Macaca mulatta: one gene and its partners. The protein of the gene in region 2 interacts with the protein of the main gene of each other region in a pairwise test. Links are inferred from orthologs where the notes say so. Each region holds a gene or a part of one and is shown on either strand. Other genes may lie near its edges. The genes, in order: PRPF19, EXOC7 and SSC5D.

What was found.
Region 1: the proteins of EXOC7 (region 2) and PRPF19 interact in a two-hybrid assay, tested with the Homo sapiens proteins (2 studies listed by BioGRID and IntAct, with this or other methods). The link is inferred for Macaca mulatta from reciprocal best matches to the Homo sapiens genes EXOC7 and PRPF19.
Region 3: the proteins of EXOC7 (region 2) and SSC5D interact in binary tests that used the Homo sapiens proteins (3 or more experiments, as listed by UniProt). The two-hybrid records come from large-scale screens. The link is inferred for Macaca mulatta from reciprocal best matches to the Homo sapiens genes EXOC7 and SSC5D.

Annotation. Positions count from the first base shown.
Region 1 is NC_133419.1:13,164,794-13,170,713, reverse strand, and holds the start of PRPF19 (pre-mRNA-processing factor 19), read right to left. Parts: upstream 3,368-5,920; 5' UTR 3,167-3,367; coding exon 3,148-3,166; intron 2,235-3,147; exon of another isoform or gene 2,147-2,234; intron 687-2,146; coding exon 537-686; intron 361-536; coding exon 284-360; intron 1-283. UniProt on the Homo sapiens protein: Ubiquitin-protein ligase which is a core component of several complexes mainly involved pre-mRNA splicing and DNA repair. Required for pre-mRNA splicing as component of the spliceosome.
Region 2 is NC_133421.1:85,831,838-85,837,798, forward strand, and holds the start of EXOC7 (exocyst complex component 7), read right to left. Parts: upstream 3,914-5,961; 5' UTR 3,831-3,913; coding exon 3,771-3,830; intron 3,574-3,770; coding exon 3,508-3,573; intron 2,027-3,507; coding exon 1,842-2,026; intron 1,542-1,841; coding exon 1,436-1,541; intron 1-1,435. UniProt on the Homo sapiens protein: Component of the exocyst complex involved in the docking of exocytic vesicles with fusion sites on the plasma membrane.
Region 3 is NC_133424.1:67,856,857-67,861,460, reverse strand, and holds the end of SSC5D (soluble scavenger receptor cysteine-rich domain-containing protein SSC5D), read right to left. Parts: intron 3,293-4,604; coding exon 1,575-3,292; 3' UTR 1,498-1,574; downstream 1-1,497.

The DNA of each region.
Region 1 (5,920 bases), on a different chromosome or scaffold from region 2:
TGCTGCTGCTGCTATTTATTGATTGCCCTCTTTGTGTCAGGCACTGTGCCAGACAGTCCTGCAGGATGTATTCAATCATTCAGTTCATAATTCTAGAGCACCTACTACGTACCAGGCGCTCTCAGTGCTGGGGATACAACAAAGAATAAAACAAAACCCTGATGTCACAAAACCCTGATGATGATTATCTAAATAATTCTCCATCCTTCCCACCCCCAAGTCCTAACTCAGCGATGCATTCTCTTCAAGTGGGGAAGATGCTAATTCTCTTGCAGGAACTCACCCACTCATCCTGCAAGGCTTTCAGAATGGCCGGGATGCTGGTGGCTGAGGGAGGCTTGGGCCGGATTGGGTGAGCAACTGCCGAAAGGGAAAGTAGGTATGAAGAGCATAACCCAGGGACCTCCCCTGCCATCACATCTTTTCCTTTTAGCCATAAACAGCCCACCATCTCCTCCTCCAGTGCATTGGCACCACCTCCCATCCTCTCAGGCTCTGAGCTAAGATGGCCCTAGACTAAGGCAGCCAATAGGCACCTTTGATGTCGATGAGCTGCTCCTCGGAGAGAGGCTGGTTGTTGATGGGGTCGGTACCATTCTCTGCAATGTACTTCTCAATGAGCCGCCGCTCATAAACATGATTAGAGACAGGGGACACACATGGGTGCTCCGGCACTTCATTAGAGACTGTAGAGAAAAGGCCGGCAGTGAGCTTGGAGTGAAGGCAATCTTGAGCCTAGAGGATTCCTCATCTGCTATTAGCCCCAACAAGACTAGGCATCCTCACAATCAACTAGCAAAAAGCAAGACATCTGACCCTAAGCCAGTTCTGTACTGGCCCCAGAATGCTTTCCAGCTGTGGAACTAGCTTTTCCTTTAGTCTCCTGACAATCAGATAGTCAACAAATAATTATTAACAACTACTATGTGCCAAGCACCTAGAGAACAGCAGTCCATTATCGCCACCTAATATCTGAACAATGATTGTGTACTCTATGAATACAGTTTACTCCATGACATGGAGACACACATGAAGCCATTCAAATCCCTTCCATCCATCTTAGTCTATAGCTCCAGAGGGATTATCAAAGAAATCATAAAGTCTGAGAATATAGGAATAACAAACTCAGTTTCTCCTATTCTCTCACAAAACAAAATACTTCTGTGACCTCAGATGTGACCATCCGGGTGTCCTCCAATTCAATTCTGACACCAGGTACCTGGAGATAGTGTCAGATCACACGGGTTGAGGTCTCAGTCCCACCAGACTCCCCCACCCCTTCAGATGCCAATCGCAAGCTCCAGGTTGTTTGACCTGTTCTTCTGATCTACCAGCTGTAAATCAGGGTTCCCATGACCCCCTTTTTGGGTTCAATTAATTTTCAACAGTGACTCACAGAATTGTGGGAAACACTTATGTTGACCAGTTTATTATAAAGGATATTACAAAGGGTATAGATGAAGAGGTGCATAGGATGAGGTATGGGAGAAGGAGTACAGAGCTTCCCATGCCCTCCCTGGGCACCCCACCCTCCAGGAACGCCCACATGTTCTGCTATACAGAAGCTCTTTGAATCCTGCCCTTTTGTATTTTTATGAAAACTTCATTACAAAGGCATGATTCAATAAATCACTGGTCACTAGTGACAACTTCAGCCCCTCTCGTTCCCCAGGTAAGTGGGGGGTAGGACTGAAAATCCCAACTTTCTAATACCCTTTAGTCTTTCTAGGTGACCAGTCCCCATCCTGAAGCTATTGACGTCTGCCAGCTACCAGTCAACTGATTAGGATACAGGCAGACACTTATCACCTGGAAGATTCCAAGGAGCAAAGTGGCAATCATTACAATAAAAATATTTACATGGCACATGTCTATGTGCCAAGCACAATTCTAGGCATACAGTACAGTAATTCATGTTCACAACAACCCGCAATAGAGGTATCATTTACACTCTTGCCTGCATAGACTGTGCGCCCCTTGAGGATAAGGATTACAGCTGGTCTCTCACTTCCAGTACAATGCAGATGCCCCCGGGGCACTCGGTAAACATCTAACGAATGAGTGAACCCTGCCAGGAAAGATAGTGCTGGGGAACGTAAAAGAGAGCTTTCCCAAGACTGGAAGGAAACAATGAATATGAAGGTACTTTGCGAGCTGTAATTTCTTCAATGTGAGGGATTCCTTTTCCATCATTTCCCTTCCTTCTTCCCCCTCTCTGGATCAACGTACAGGTTCTGAGAAGAGACGGAGGTGAATAGCAAAAGGGAGGGGAAACGAGTAATCTGATGAAACAACGAAAAGGGAAAGGAAAACGTATGTACGTCATGATAAAATATCAAAGGGAAAGATAGTGGAAGGTATGGAAAAAGCAAGGATTCAGGCTCCAAACTCCGTGTCACCTAACTACGTCACCCAGCTCTGCCATTGACTAGCTACGCATTCTTAGATAAGCCCCGCTCTTCCTGAGCCTTGCCTCCTCATTTGCAACACCAGGATCTTTTCTCCTTTAGGGAATTCTTGTGAGGATAAAATGAGATCCTAGACTTGGAAGCGCGTTGTAAACCAATAAGGGCTTTATAAATGTGCGCTGTTTTTAATTAGTCATACACTGTAAGGCTGGGAGCCATATACCTAGCTGCCAGCCTTGCCTACCTCTAACTCATCATGTGACCTTTACAAATTGCAAAAGCTGCGACTATCCGAGCAAGGCCTCACAAAATATCCAGTGCAATGCTCTCAATTTTGCAGATGGGGAAACCGAGGCACAGAGCCTTAAGCCAATTCACAAAGCCAACAGGAGGCGGACCCTGGACAAGACCTCGGGTTTCCTGACTCTTACATCAAGGCTGTTTCCCCTGCACCAGCTCCCTCTGTCCAGGCCTGTTTCCACTCGGTAGAATGAGGCGACCTGCCTCAGTAATGCCTGCGACAATAAACCTCCGGCACTATGTAAACTGCGGAGCACTGCGCAAATGCACCCCGCTCCGAGGGGAGGGCTCCGGGGCTGACAGGCCGCCGCTCTGCCTCTGGAGCGCCCCATTCCCGCCTCCACCCCGGCCCCGGCCCCGGCGCCGCAGTGGCCCGCACACGCTCCCGCGCCGCTCTCCGGCCTCCTGCGACCCGCGCTCGGCCGCAGGCAACACTCACTGGAGCAGATTAGGGACATGGCGCCGTTGCCGCGCTCCCAGGCGCCACACGCCGGACTCCGGGACTGGCTTCTGAGCCTCCGCGAGCCACTTCCGGTCCCCCGCTGCTGCCGGGACTGCTCAGCTGCGAGCTGGGAGCCGCCAGTCGAGCGATGCTCGCGTAGCGCTTCACGTGGGAATGGGGACAGCCGCGCGCCACTGCCTCCAGCACCTAACGGAAATAGACCTTTCCCAGAATGCAGCCGGGCAGGAAAGGGCCCGCCACGAACACTCGGTTATTTCCGGATTGACTCGGCTCGTTCCGTAAAGCGCCCGGGGATTGGCGGGGGCGTCGGAAGAGAGGAGACTCGAAACTACATTTCCCATGATGCAGTGAGAACTTAAAACCAAAGCAATTGGACAGCACTTGTTTTGACAACTGTGCGGCACTGTGTCACGGGACCCTGGTCTTTGAAACCTTGGTGTGCGCGAGAATTTCCCAATTTCCCATTGTTAAAATGCAGATTCCTCGGATCTGCGTAGACAGACTGCGCCCCACGCTATTCTAAGTCAGGTGTTTCTCGGGCCACCCTTTAAGAGACACTGCTGGATGGCCTGGTGTTAAAAATACAGAGGCAGATGGGTACAGGAACTAAGAAAACGGCTAAGACAGCGTTTTGGTCCTGACTACTACCGTTTCGCTCTGTGATTTGGGGCAATTCACATTGGCTTCCCTGCCCTTTCTTCTTTGTCAAAAGACAAAATCACAACAAATTTAGTTTAAAGTTTTTTGTTTGTTTTTGTTTTTTGGTTTTGTTTTGTTTTTGTTTTTGTTTTTAAGAGACGGACTCTGGCAATGTTGCCCAGGCTGGAACGCAGTGGCTATTCACAGGTGCAATCGTAGCAATCATGGCTATCACAGGTGCATCCTGGAACTCCTGGGCTCAAGTGATCCTTCTGCCTCAGCCTCCAGAGTAGCTCTGGGACTTAGGGTGCAATTCTATAAAATTGGGCAGCGCCTTACACTATAAAATCTAATGGTTGTTCCAATGAGCTGAACAGGGGAGCTTGGTTTTTTAGACAGAAAAGGACTGAGGAAAACAGAAACAGAACAAAAATGGGATTGGTCATTTGGTAATCTCAAAATTACTTTTCTTGTAAAGGTTAAAGTGGAGGGTACTTCTTTATCATGCCATGTAAAACTTGCCTGTTTGGGAATTTAGCTCTCCCCGCCAACACACATGCACACACACACTCTCTCTCAGAAGGTCATAAAGATCTTAGTTTCAGCTCATTGGGGTGGAACTTCGGCAGGACTCTTTTTAGCTTGGTCTGTTAGGCCTAGCGCAAGAGCTCAGTCCAAACCAGTGGCCTCTTATCAATTTATTTTGTATTTTCTGTTTCTCTTCCAGCTCAGATAGTGTATGATTCTTTGTGGATATCTGTAAGATAAGATACTCTCAGGAATCATGCAAAAGACATGTGGTGTGGACTATAAGGTATCAAGACAAACGGGCAGGATGAACAGGATGTGTGAGTGAGAGGGACTTTGACAGGTGGGCAGTATTCAGAGGAGAAGGAGAAGGAAAGGCATTCCAGAAGGAGAAACAATGTAAGCAAAAGCTTGGAGAGAAAAATAAAAGTTACAGGTACAAAAGGTAGTATGGCATAGTGGCCAAGAGCATGGACTCTGAAGTCAGACTGTGTGCTCAAATCCTAGCACCACCCAGGTGATTAACTGTATGAACTTCTCTATGCCTTAGTTTCCTCATCTGTAAAACAGAGGGAGTGATGACAGGGGTAGAACTAACTCGCTGAACTCTTATGAGGAGTTAATATGCAAAAGGGCATTTCATCTCTCTCTTGCACCAACAAAGTAGCTTGCCACTTGTTCCTTGCTTCCAGCCTGGCCTCCTCCTCCTAATCTACTTTCCACAGAGCAGCCAGTGATCCGCTTTGAATGAAATATCGATTCATGTTATTCCCCAGGCATTTCATTCATCCAACAAATATTGATTGGGTACTTCCTATGTGCCAAGCCCTATTCTAAAAACTGGAGATAGAAAAGGTCAACAAGAAAGACACAGTTTCTGCTCTTTTGGAGCTTACACTGTACTGGGAGTGGTGGGAGCACAGAGACAATCAACACTTAAGAAGAAAATTCCAGAGTAGTAGTGCTATGAATGCAACAAATCAGAGCAAAGTAGACAGAGGTGCTGGGGATTGGAGGAATGGCTGCTTTAGACAGGGCACTTAGAGAGTGCATCTTTGAGGAGCTGATTTTTTTTTCGCTGAGAACTGAATGAGGGTATGGAGCAAAAAAGTTTCTCCTCTGCCCTCTAAAGATTTGCTGAAATTAACTGACAAACGACAGAATAACAGGAGAAACGACATACAAGTGTATTAGTGTGCAAGTGTGCACAGCAGTCATACAAAATATGAGGCTCAAAGAAGGAACAGGTGGCTGATGCTTACTTAAATGGCACCCAGGAAAGAGGGAGATGGGGGAAATGTAGGCAATTTTGAGGGCTAGCAAATAATTTTTAGGGGAAATGAATGAGCCCCAAGAACAGACAATGCCTTGGGACAAAATTCTTATGAGCTCTGGAGGAGGTGGCAACAAATTGTGGGAAGGTGAGGGGCAGAACTCCATTGTGAACAAAGGTTGTCTTATACTCATAAAGTCTCCCAGGTAATCTGTTATAGCTCCCTCAGAAGAATAGATTAAAAGTCTCTCTAGGTGTAGTGGTGAGTTGATGACTTTTAGTTTTTATTCTTCTCTAGTGGTTAATCTT
Region 2 (5,961 bases):
TGAAGGCAGGTACAGTGGCTAATGCCCATAATCCCTCCCAACACTTTGAGAGGCCAAGGTGGGAGGATCACCTGAGGACAGTAGTTTGAGACCAGCCTGAGCAACACAGGAGACCTCCTCTCTACCAAAAGATTTAAAACTTAGCTGGGCATGGTGGCATGTGCCTGTGGGCCCAGCTACTCGGAAGGCTGAGGCAGGAGGATTGCCTGAGCCCAGGAGTTCGAGGCTGCAGTAGCTATGGTTGTGCCACTGCAGTCTGGCCTAGATGACATAGCCAGATCCTGTCTCTTAAAAAAAAATTAAAAATATATAATGCAAAAAAAAAAATCACATAGATTCAAGTTCCTAGAGTAGATTCACAGAAACGGAAAGTGGAATGGTGGTTACCAGAAGACACAGGAAGGGAGAATGGGAAGTTAGTGTTTGATGGGAGTGGAGTTTCACTTGAGGAAGATGAACATATTTGTGGAGATAATAATGGTGATGGCTACACAACATTGTGAAGGGACTTAATGCCACTGTTAACTTAGAGTTAAAATAGTATATTTTGGCCGGGCGCGGTGGCTCACGCCTATAATCCCAGCACTTTGGAAGCCAAGGCAGGCGGATCACCTGAGGTTAGGAGTTCGTGACCAGCCTGGCTAACATGGTGAAACCCCGTTTCTACTAAAACTACAAAAAAAAAAAAAAAAATTAGCCGGGAGTGGTGGCGCACGCCTGTAATCCCAGCTACTCAGGAGGCCGAGGCAAGAGAATCGCTTGGGAGATCGCACCATTGCACTCCAGCTTGGGCAACAAGAGCAAAACTTCGTCTCAAAAAAAAAAAAAATTTATATTATGTATTTTTAACCAAAATAAAGAAACAACAAATACATTTATAAAAATCAAATGTGGCTGGGTGCAATGGCTCATGCCTGTAATCCCAGGCCAAGGTGGGGGATCATCTGAGGTCAGGAGTTTGAGACCAGCCTGGCCAACATGGCGAAACCCCATCTCCACTAAAAATACAAAAATTAGCCGGGTGTGGTGGCGGGCGCCTGTAATCCCAGCTACTCCGGAGGCGGAGGCAGGAGAATGGCATGGACCCGGGAGCAGAGGTTGCAGTGAACTGAGCACTGCACTCCAGCCTGGGTGACAGAGCAAGACTCTGTCTCAGGAGAAAAAAAAAAAAAAAATCAAATGTTAAGTATATATTTTATATGTAATTTATAATTTAATTTTTATAATACATTTAAAAGTTTTATAATAAAGAATTTTTAATAATAAAAAATGTGCAATTCTTGAGGCAGAGATACTAATGCCTAGAGGATGTACTGTGCTATATCCTTCTGTGTATTCTACTGTATACATCCTCAAGCTGGCCCCATGTCCCTCATGAGACCAGGGCAGAGACTGATATCCCCAAGCTCCTCACATTATTCTGCAGATCCCTTACCACTTTGTTGAGTTCTGGGCTGTCTGGGCTGTTGTCCTGGAAATACTCCACTGCCTTCTGAATCTTGGCCATGCTTCCCAGGTACTCTTCCAGCCTACCTGTGGGGCTGGGAAGCAAAAGAGCCAGGTCAGGCTGGGGCAAGGGGGGTGAAGAAGGACTAAGGACACAGTATTTGGAAGGGAAAGAAGAGAATTAATACATGGGACTCCAGGTTCAAATATATGCTATCCCCCCCACCGCCTTTTAAGGCTTAGGGCTTAAAAGGCATCTCACTGTGTTGTCCAGGCTGGTCTTGAACTCCTGGTCTCAAGTGATCCTCCCGCATCAGCATCCCAAATTATTGGGATTACAGACCAACCCTCCGGTCCAGGAGGGATTAGGAATTGACCCTATGGGCCTAACTCACCCCTCTCTGATGATCTTCTCAGTGTCACTGGCCACATGGTAGTAGCTGATGACATGGTCCAGGCAGGACAGTGTCTTCTCAACATTCTCCTGCAGCCGCTGCAGATTCTCCGTCTGCTTGTGCACGGGGATGATGGAGTTCTCCAGCTTCATAAGGCGGCTCTCAAAGGATGATAAGATAGACACCTGCAGGAGGGAAGCCTCTTGATCTCAGGCCTCATGGTGGTCCCAGCACTGCTTCTACACACCCACCTTGGGCATTTCCTGCCTTTTCTCTGGGTTTCTAGACAATAAACTCCACAAGGGAAGGAAGAGGGTGTATCTGTTCCCCATTGTATCCTCAGCACCCATCATGTGCCTAGCATATAGTAGGTGATTTAAGACAAATTGGTTGAAATTTTATTTGAAGGCAAACCAAGCATCAAATTAATTCTTCCTAAAATAATCAGCCCAAGATGGCTTCCCTTCCACCCTTTGAAGCCAAATCTCAACTTCTGCTCTCTTTGAAGCATTCCTAAACTGGACTGGAAGTAGTTTCATACAGAGAAGCCTCAAATGCATTTCTGTATCTTCAAAACTCTCTTAAGGATGAAACTCATTGAATAAGGACTAGAGGCTGGGCGTGATGGTTCATGCCTGTAATCCTAAGAATTTGGGAGGCTGAGGCAGGAGGATTGCTTGAGACTAGGAGTCCAAGACCAGCCTGGACAACACAGTGAGACCCTGTCTACACACACAGACACACACACGCACATAATTAGCAAGGTGTGGTGGTATGTGCCTACAGTCCCAGCTACTAGGATGCCGAGGCAGGAGGACTGCCTGAGCCCAGGAGTTAGAGACTGCAGTGAGCTACGGTCATGCCACTGCACTCTAGCCTGCACAACAGAGCCAGACCCTGTCTCTAAAAAGAAATAATTTTAAAATTAAATTTTTTAGAAAAGGACTAGGACTTTATTATTGTGTGACTAAATACAAATACAAGTTTGTATTTACTCACTTTGTGCTTTTCCAGTCTCCCCTAGGAATAAAGAAGGAACCTCACTTATTGAGCACCTATTGTATACCAGGCACTGAGCAAGATGCAGTCGCATGCATTAGCGCATATGACCTTCACAGACACACTGGGAGGCTGGCACAGTCTCTGCTTTAGCAGATGAATTCGCTGACACCAGAGTTACCTATCAGGAGCCACACACTTAAGCAGCAGGGCAAGGACTAGATCCCAGATCTGCCTGACTTCAGAGCTCTTTCTTTCCCTGAAGCCCTCTGGAGTGAAGGCTGAGTCTTCTCTGCTCTCAGGAATCTCAAAGTGCCAACCTCCTGGGCAGAGGATCCATTGACGATGACATATGCCCAGTACCTAGCCCAACTAACTGGTCAGACTCACTGAGTATTTGCAGAAGGAGAGAAGGAAGAATGGCGAGCTTAGACAGAAAGCAGCAAGTCCAGGCCAGGGGGAAGCGCAGCCTCCTCAGTGAGGGGACGGAATATGGGGAGGGGGCTAGGCAGGAGAGATGCCAAACTGCTGCTAGATAAACCCACACACTGCCTGCGTCGCTACCCATGACAGAACCCCAGGCCGCAAGAACTGGAACCGCCAGGTCGCAAGGCTTTCCCCCAGGGTCCGGAGGCCTGCCCCCTCCCCCAGCTGCGAGGAGACTCACCATGTTCTTAGTGAGCTGGTCGCTCTTCTCCAGGCTGTCTCGGATGAAGGACAGCGTCTCCTCCTCCTGGGAGCAGGCAAGGGGAGGACATCACCAGAAACCAGAAGCTAAAGGAGACCACTGTGTCCCGACCCCACGGCCTAGCCCCCAACCCCATCTCCTCGCTCGGTGCGCTCCCTCCCACCCCTGCCTCCTCTCCGAGTAGACACTCAGGCCCCGCTGTTGGCCTCTTTCCCTCACCTCCTCCCCAGGCCCACGCCCACCTGCTTCAGCTTGTCCTCGATCTCCCGCCTTCGGGCGGATGCCTCCTGTGGGGGAATCATCGCTCCGAACCCCACGGCTCCCACTCCCCACTATCTCTCCTTCGCTGGCGCACCGGGCCCCAGTCCCCGTCACACCCACTTCCGCTCTTGGTCCCGCCCCGGGACACCTGGGCGGAGCCAGGTTGGGCGTGGAAGGCGGAAGTGCGCCTGCGCGGAGCCCAGGAACGGACCGACGGCCATCTTGAGTGTGGCTGTGGAGTGACGTGTACTCGGATCCTACAAGGGATCTCGACGCGGGTTCCTTTCCTCAGGAGAGGTTTTTGATCGGCCTTATGTCCCGCGGCTGGTAGGACGCTTACAGCTCACTTGCTGTTTTCGTTGAAAGACCGAGCCTTTTCATAAACACTGCTGGGGAAGGCGACGAATTCCTTTCCCCAGGTCGCATTCTGTGGGCAGGCACCAAGGCCGATTGTGTTCCCCACAGCGCCCGGCACAGCGCAGGTGACACAGTAGATGCCTAACGTGTGTCCATGTAATGAACCAGGGGCTTGTGTAGTCGTTTTCCCCTTCAACCCTGCATTACGCAAAACCGTATCCTGTGGGCTGGCGGGGCTGCTCCGGAGCTCCAGGCCCAGTCCCAGCTTCCAGCTGCAGCTCCAGGGGATGGCGTGGTGGGCGCCCCTGGATCAACTTCCCTGCAGGGTTGGATGTTGTGGTTGTAGACCCAGCTCCTGAAAAACCTAGAATTACTCCTTCCTCTAACCAGTCCCTGCCCACCCTGCCTCTGGCCCCCGGCCTTGAGACAGGACATGGCCGACCAACTTGGTTCAGTCCTTCTGTGGCCTCAGTGTCCAGACACCGGGAAGATAGACAAGGAGGCATGTGCTGGTGGATGAGAAGGTTGGGGGGGGGGGACGGACACCAAGCTTTTCTTTTTTTGTTGTGAGAGGGAGTATCACTCTGTCGCCCAGGCTGCAATTCAGTGGCACGATCTCCGCTCATTGAAACCTCTGCCTCCCGGGTTCAAGTGATTCTCGTGCCTCAGCCTCCTGAGTAGCTGGGATTACAGGCGGCTGCCAACACGCCCGGCTAATTTTTTTGTATTGTTGGTAGAGACAGGGTTTTGCCATGTTGCCCAGTCTAGTCTCGAACTCATGACCTCAAGTGATCCACCCACCTCGGCTTCCCAAAGTCCTGGGATTACAGGCGTGAGCCGCTACTCCCAGCCTGGGGGGCACCAAGTTCTAGGGTTCCCATGCGCTCCCTCTACTCATAGCCACCCAAAGAGGAGGAGGAGGAAATGGGTGTACAGAGCCTGGAGAGGGATGGGCAGCCTTCCCTCGGGCAGGAGGACAATTTCCGTCCTTTTGTAGGTGGGGGAGGTAAAGGGCAGATTCCTGTGTCAGGAAATACCCAGGATGATTTCGCTGACGTGGTCCTTGTGTCGTCCTAAGGGCTAAGTGGGGAAAAGTTTAAACTGTTAGGTGTCACAGAATAGAATAGGGGGGCTAGTGAGCCGCTGCAGAGAGGATGTTTTGGGTTCAGGTGGACAACCCTTGAGGGCCTGGTCCAGTATTTAACCCGAGTCTCTCTCTTTTTTTTTTCCTTGAGACGCAGTCTTGCTCTGTTGCCCAGGCTGGAGTGCAATGGCGCCATCTCAGCTCACCACAACCTCCGCCTCCCGGATTCAAGCAATTCTTCTGCCTCAGCCTCCCAAGTAGCTGGGATTACAGGCATACGCCACCACCCTGTCTAATTTTGTATTTTTAGTAGAGACAGGGTTTCTCCATGTTGTTCAGGCTGTTCTTGAACTCCCGACCTCAGGTGATCCGCCCGCCTCGGCCTCCCAAAGTGCTGGCATTACAGGTGTGAGCCACCGCACTGGCCTGAGTCTCTAACCAGTTCCTCACCCATAGTAGATGCTCAATAAAAATACTGATAATAATATTTTGCTCTGGCCAGGTGCAGTGGCTCATGCCTGTAATCCCAGCACTTTGGGAGGCTGAGGCAGGTGGATCAGGAGGTCAGGAGTTCGAGACCAGCCTCGTCAACATAGTGAAACCCCATGTCTACTAAAAATACAAAAATTAGCTAGGCATGGTGGTGTGCACCTGTAGTCCCAGCTACTCGGGAGGCTGAGGCAGGAGAATCGCTTGAACTCAGGAGGCAAAGGTTGTGGTGAGCCGAGATG
Region 3 (4,604 bases), on a different chromosome or scaffold from region 2:
CGTGTTCCCTGAGTGATTCGGGGCACATGACCAAACCTCTCTGTGCCTGGATGCCCAGATCTGCAGAATGGGGATAAATACAATAATTGCTCTCATACGACGGGCGCTTGTCAAGAGCCATCGTAAGTACTCTCCTAGGTATTAACTTATTCAATCATTACAGCAACCCCATGAGGCATGTGTACTATTATTATCCCTGTTTTATAGTTGGAGAAGATGAGACCCAGAGGTTAAGTAACTGGTTTATGTTTACTCCCAGCAAGGACTCAAACTCAGGAATCCAGGCTGCAATACGCACCTCCTCATCTGCTGAGCCGTGGTAACAGTACCCTCCTCGGCAGGCACTCGTTAAGACAAAATGACATCACCATCCATGCAAAGCCCTTAAAACAGAGCCTGACACATAGGAAGTGCCCAAGAAATATTAGCCATGATGATGATGATGATGCACTCTTTCATTCAAAAGATATTAATTATCGAGTGTGTACTCTGCATCGGCTTCTTTCCTAGAAACTGGGCTTCCATCCATGAACAAGGCCAAGTTTTTGCTCACATGAAGCTTCATCATTGTCACAGCCATCACCACAGTCATCACCACCGGGATCATCTTTACCACCATAATCACCAACATCATCACCATCACCATCATCATCATTACCATCATTGCCTCGTCACCACGGCTGTTCCTTCACAGTCATCACCACCATGATCACCTTTCACACCATCATTGCCATCATTATCACCACCACTACCACCATCACCATCACCATCAATGTGACCATCATCCCCATAATCACCCTTATCACCATCATCACCACCACCACCATCATCATTACCATCATTCCCTCATCACCATGACCACTCCCTCATGACCAGCACCATCATCATCACTGTGATCATCACCATCATCATCACCACCATCATCATCATGGTCATTGCCTCATCACCATGACAATTCTCTCACGATCATCACTATCAGCATCACCATCATTTCACCATCTTCATCATCATCATCAACATTCCCACCATCACCACCACCACCACCATCATCATTACTATCATTCCCTCATCCCCATGACCACTCCCTCATGACCAGCACCATCATCATCACTGTGATCATCACCATCATCACCACCACCACTATCACCATCATTTCACCATCTTCATCATCATCATCACCACCATCACCACCACCACCATCATTATAGTCACTGCCTCAACACCATGACCATTCCCTCATGATCATCAGCATTATTTCACCATCTTCACCACCACCACCACCACCACCACCATCTTACCATTCTCATTATCATGATCCTCACCACAGTGATCGTCCTCCTATCACGATCACCATCAAGATCATCACCATCATCACCACCCTCATAATCATCCCCATCGTCAACACCGCCTTGCATGGCACCTGGGCTATTCACATATCAAGATCAATCTTGTAATTCTATTTCTCTAGAATTTCCCAAAAACACCATCCACACCTTGTTTTTAATTAGGCACTTTGGTTTTTTTTGTTTTGTTTTGATCGGGAATGTCTTACGCCCCTCAAATCCTGGAGAGGGTCACACGTCTCCCCTCAGAGGCCTTTCTTCTTCCTCTGGGGTAGTGGTGGTTGGTGCAGGCATGCTGGTGGTCCAGGCCATCTCTACCACTCTCTTCATGGCCTCACCCAGCTGCCCCAGACCCCGGGCAGCCTCTACCAGCTGGGTCAGCCCCAGCAGCAGGGCTTGGCGCTCCTGCCGGTCCTGTTCCACGACCTGGGTCAGTCTCTGCAGCTGACCACCCACATCCCTCACGGCAGCCACCAGTTCCACCAGGGCAGGTGGCTCACAAGCCATGACCCTTACAGGTGGTGTTGGGGCCACACATGGACCATGGGGGCCTGGGCTCTGACCAGGGGTTGGCCCTAGGGTGAGGGGGTCAAGGGGAGGATGATCCAAGGGGTGGGCTATCAGGGAGAGGTGGGGGTCAGGAGACATAGTGAGGTCAGAGGCTGAGTGTGGGGTATGGGTGGGTGGAAGGGTTAGGTTGGGGCTCTGGCTTCTGGGTGGCTTGAAGTCCTCAGTGGACAGTGGGTCCATGCTTGTGGCTGTGGAGGACCTGGAGGGGCTGGACTCCAAGGCTGGAGAGGGCTCTAAGGTGGGCATCTGGGATGTGGAGGTGTGAGGGGCAGGTGCTGTGAAGGTCAACTGGGGGTGCAGACTGGGCTTGACTGTTGGTGCTAGAGTGGGAGAGGAGAGTTCTGTCCCCAAGGAGGTTGGAAGGGACTTAGTAGTGATGATAGGGGTTGAGGAAGAGTCAGGAGTTGTGGTGGGGTGAGGGGTCGTGGTGGGGTCAGGAGTCGTGGTGGGGTGAGGGGTCGTGGTGGGGTCAGGAGTCGTGATGGGGTGAGGGGTTGTGGTGGGGTGAGGGGTTGTGGTGGGGTGAGGGGTTGTGGTGGGGTAAGGAGTTGTGGGGTGAGGGATCATGGTGGGCTGCATGGTGGTGAAGGGTTGAGGGGCTGTGGTGGGGTCAGGAATCATGGTGGAGTGAGTGGTGGTGGTGGGATGAGGGGTTGTGGTGGGGTGAGGGGTTGTGGGGTGAGGGGTTGTGGTGGGCTGCATGGTGGTGAAGGGTTGAGGGGTTGTGGTAGGGTCAGGAATCATGGTGGAGTGAGTGATGGTAGTGGGTTGAGGGGTCGTGGTGGGGTGAGTGGTGGTAGGGAACTGAGGGGTCACAGTAGGGTTAGGGGTTGTGGTGTGGTCAGGGGTCATGGTGGGATCAGGGATAGCAGAGGGGTGAGGGCTTGGGGAGGGGGCTGGGGATCTGGAATATTCCGAGACTGTACTGGAGTATGGAGTTGTGTCCAAGTCTGGGGTTGTGTCAGATTCTGGGATCTGCTCTGAGGTAGGGGAAAGGCTGGTCACCTCCGACGCTGTAGAAGGGTCAGAGGTCAGCTCTTTGGGCAAGGTGGGTAAGGGCGTGGGCGAGGGCTCCGGGGTCAACGCTGGAACCACACTGGAGTCAGGGGTGGACAAAGCAAAGTCAGGGCTTGTCAGGATGAGGTCGGGGTTCGTCCGGGAGGTCGGGTCTGGGGTGGGTGGTGAAGTGTCCGGAGGGTCAGAGGTCGCCTCGGGCGTCAAGGCTGAGTGGGGCGTGAGCTCTGGACTGCAGTCAGAGGTCAGCGCTGGGCCTGGGGGTCCTGGAGAGGCGGAGGGACCTGGGGACGGGGTTGCGGGCGCTGTCCTGGTCGCAGCGGGCCGCGGTGGCCGGCGCTCGGGCCAGGGTTTCCTCGGGGAACCTGGAGGAGGAGGAAAGACAGACGGACGGTCTGAGGTCAGCCGGCTCCGCCCACTATGCGTCCCGCCCCGCCCCTCGAGGAGTCGACCAATGGAGAGGCGCAGAGCCTCGAGACGTCATGGGTCACCGGCAGACTTCACCCGGCCCTAGGGCCCCTCCTCCCTGCCTCCTCCGATGTCTCCAGGCGCCACCTGGTGTCCTCCGCTGCGGAGGGGCACGCGGGTCGAGGGAGTGGGTGCAGGAGGGTGAGGTGAGGGAGGGATGCGGGGGATGCTGGGGCGCGGGAGCTGGGGGAGTGCTCAGAAGCGTGCAGCATACGAGAGGATTCCGAGACAGCGGGGGACTGGGCGATGTGGGGAGCCGGGGAAGGCAGGGAGACCAAAGAGGCTCCGAAGGGTAATTTTAGTAATCAAAATACCTTTATGGAATTTTAAATTTTATTTTTATTTTTATTTTTATTTTTTTGAGACGGAGTCTTGCTCTGTCGCCCAGACTGGAGTGCAGTGGCGCGATCTCGGCTCACGGCAAGCTCCGCCTCCCAGGTTCACGCCATTCTCCTGCCTCAGCCTCCCGAGGAGCTGGGACTACAGGCACCCGCCACCATGCCCGGCTAATTTTTTGTATATTTAGTAGAGACGGGGTTTCCGTGTTAGCCAGGATGGTCTCGATTTCCTGACCTCGTGATCCGCCCACCTCAGCCTCCCAAAGTGCTGTGATTACAGGCGTGAGCCACTGCGCCCGGCCTAATCATGCTTAACTTTACTAAATACTGCTGGACCGTCTTTATCAAACAGCTCTGTCCAGTGGGGTTGCCTGTCTCCCCACATCCTCACTCACACTTGATAATACCCACCTTTCTCATTCTCCTCCGTACTTGCCATTGTTTTAATTTGTATTTTCTGGTTCCTGGTGAGCGTGGGCATTTCTAAACACACTCAGCCATTTGGGCTTCCCTTTCGGGGAATCACTTGTTTGTATCTTTCCCTCTTTCTCATCTAGGGCTTCCTATCATTTTCCTATTTGTCACAGTGACTTATGGCTATCTAGGCTGGGGTTTCTCAACCTCGGTACTGTTGTCATGTAGGGCTGGGTGGTTCTTTGTTATGGAGAGATGTCCTGTGCATTGTGGGATGTTTAACACCATTCCTGGCCTCTACCGATGAGGTGCCCATGGGTGACCTCTCACTTCCTGCCATGACAATCCAAAATATCTTCAGATATTGTCAAATGCCCCTTGGGGGCAAAATCGACCCTAGTGGGTGACCAGTGGTCTAGATAATAACCCCTTGGCTCTGTTTTGTTATGTTTTGTTT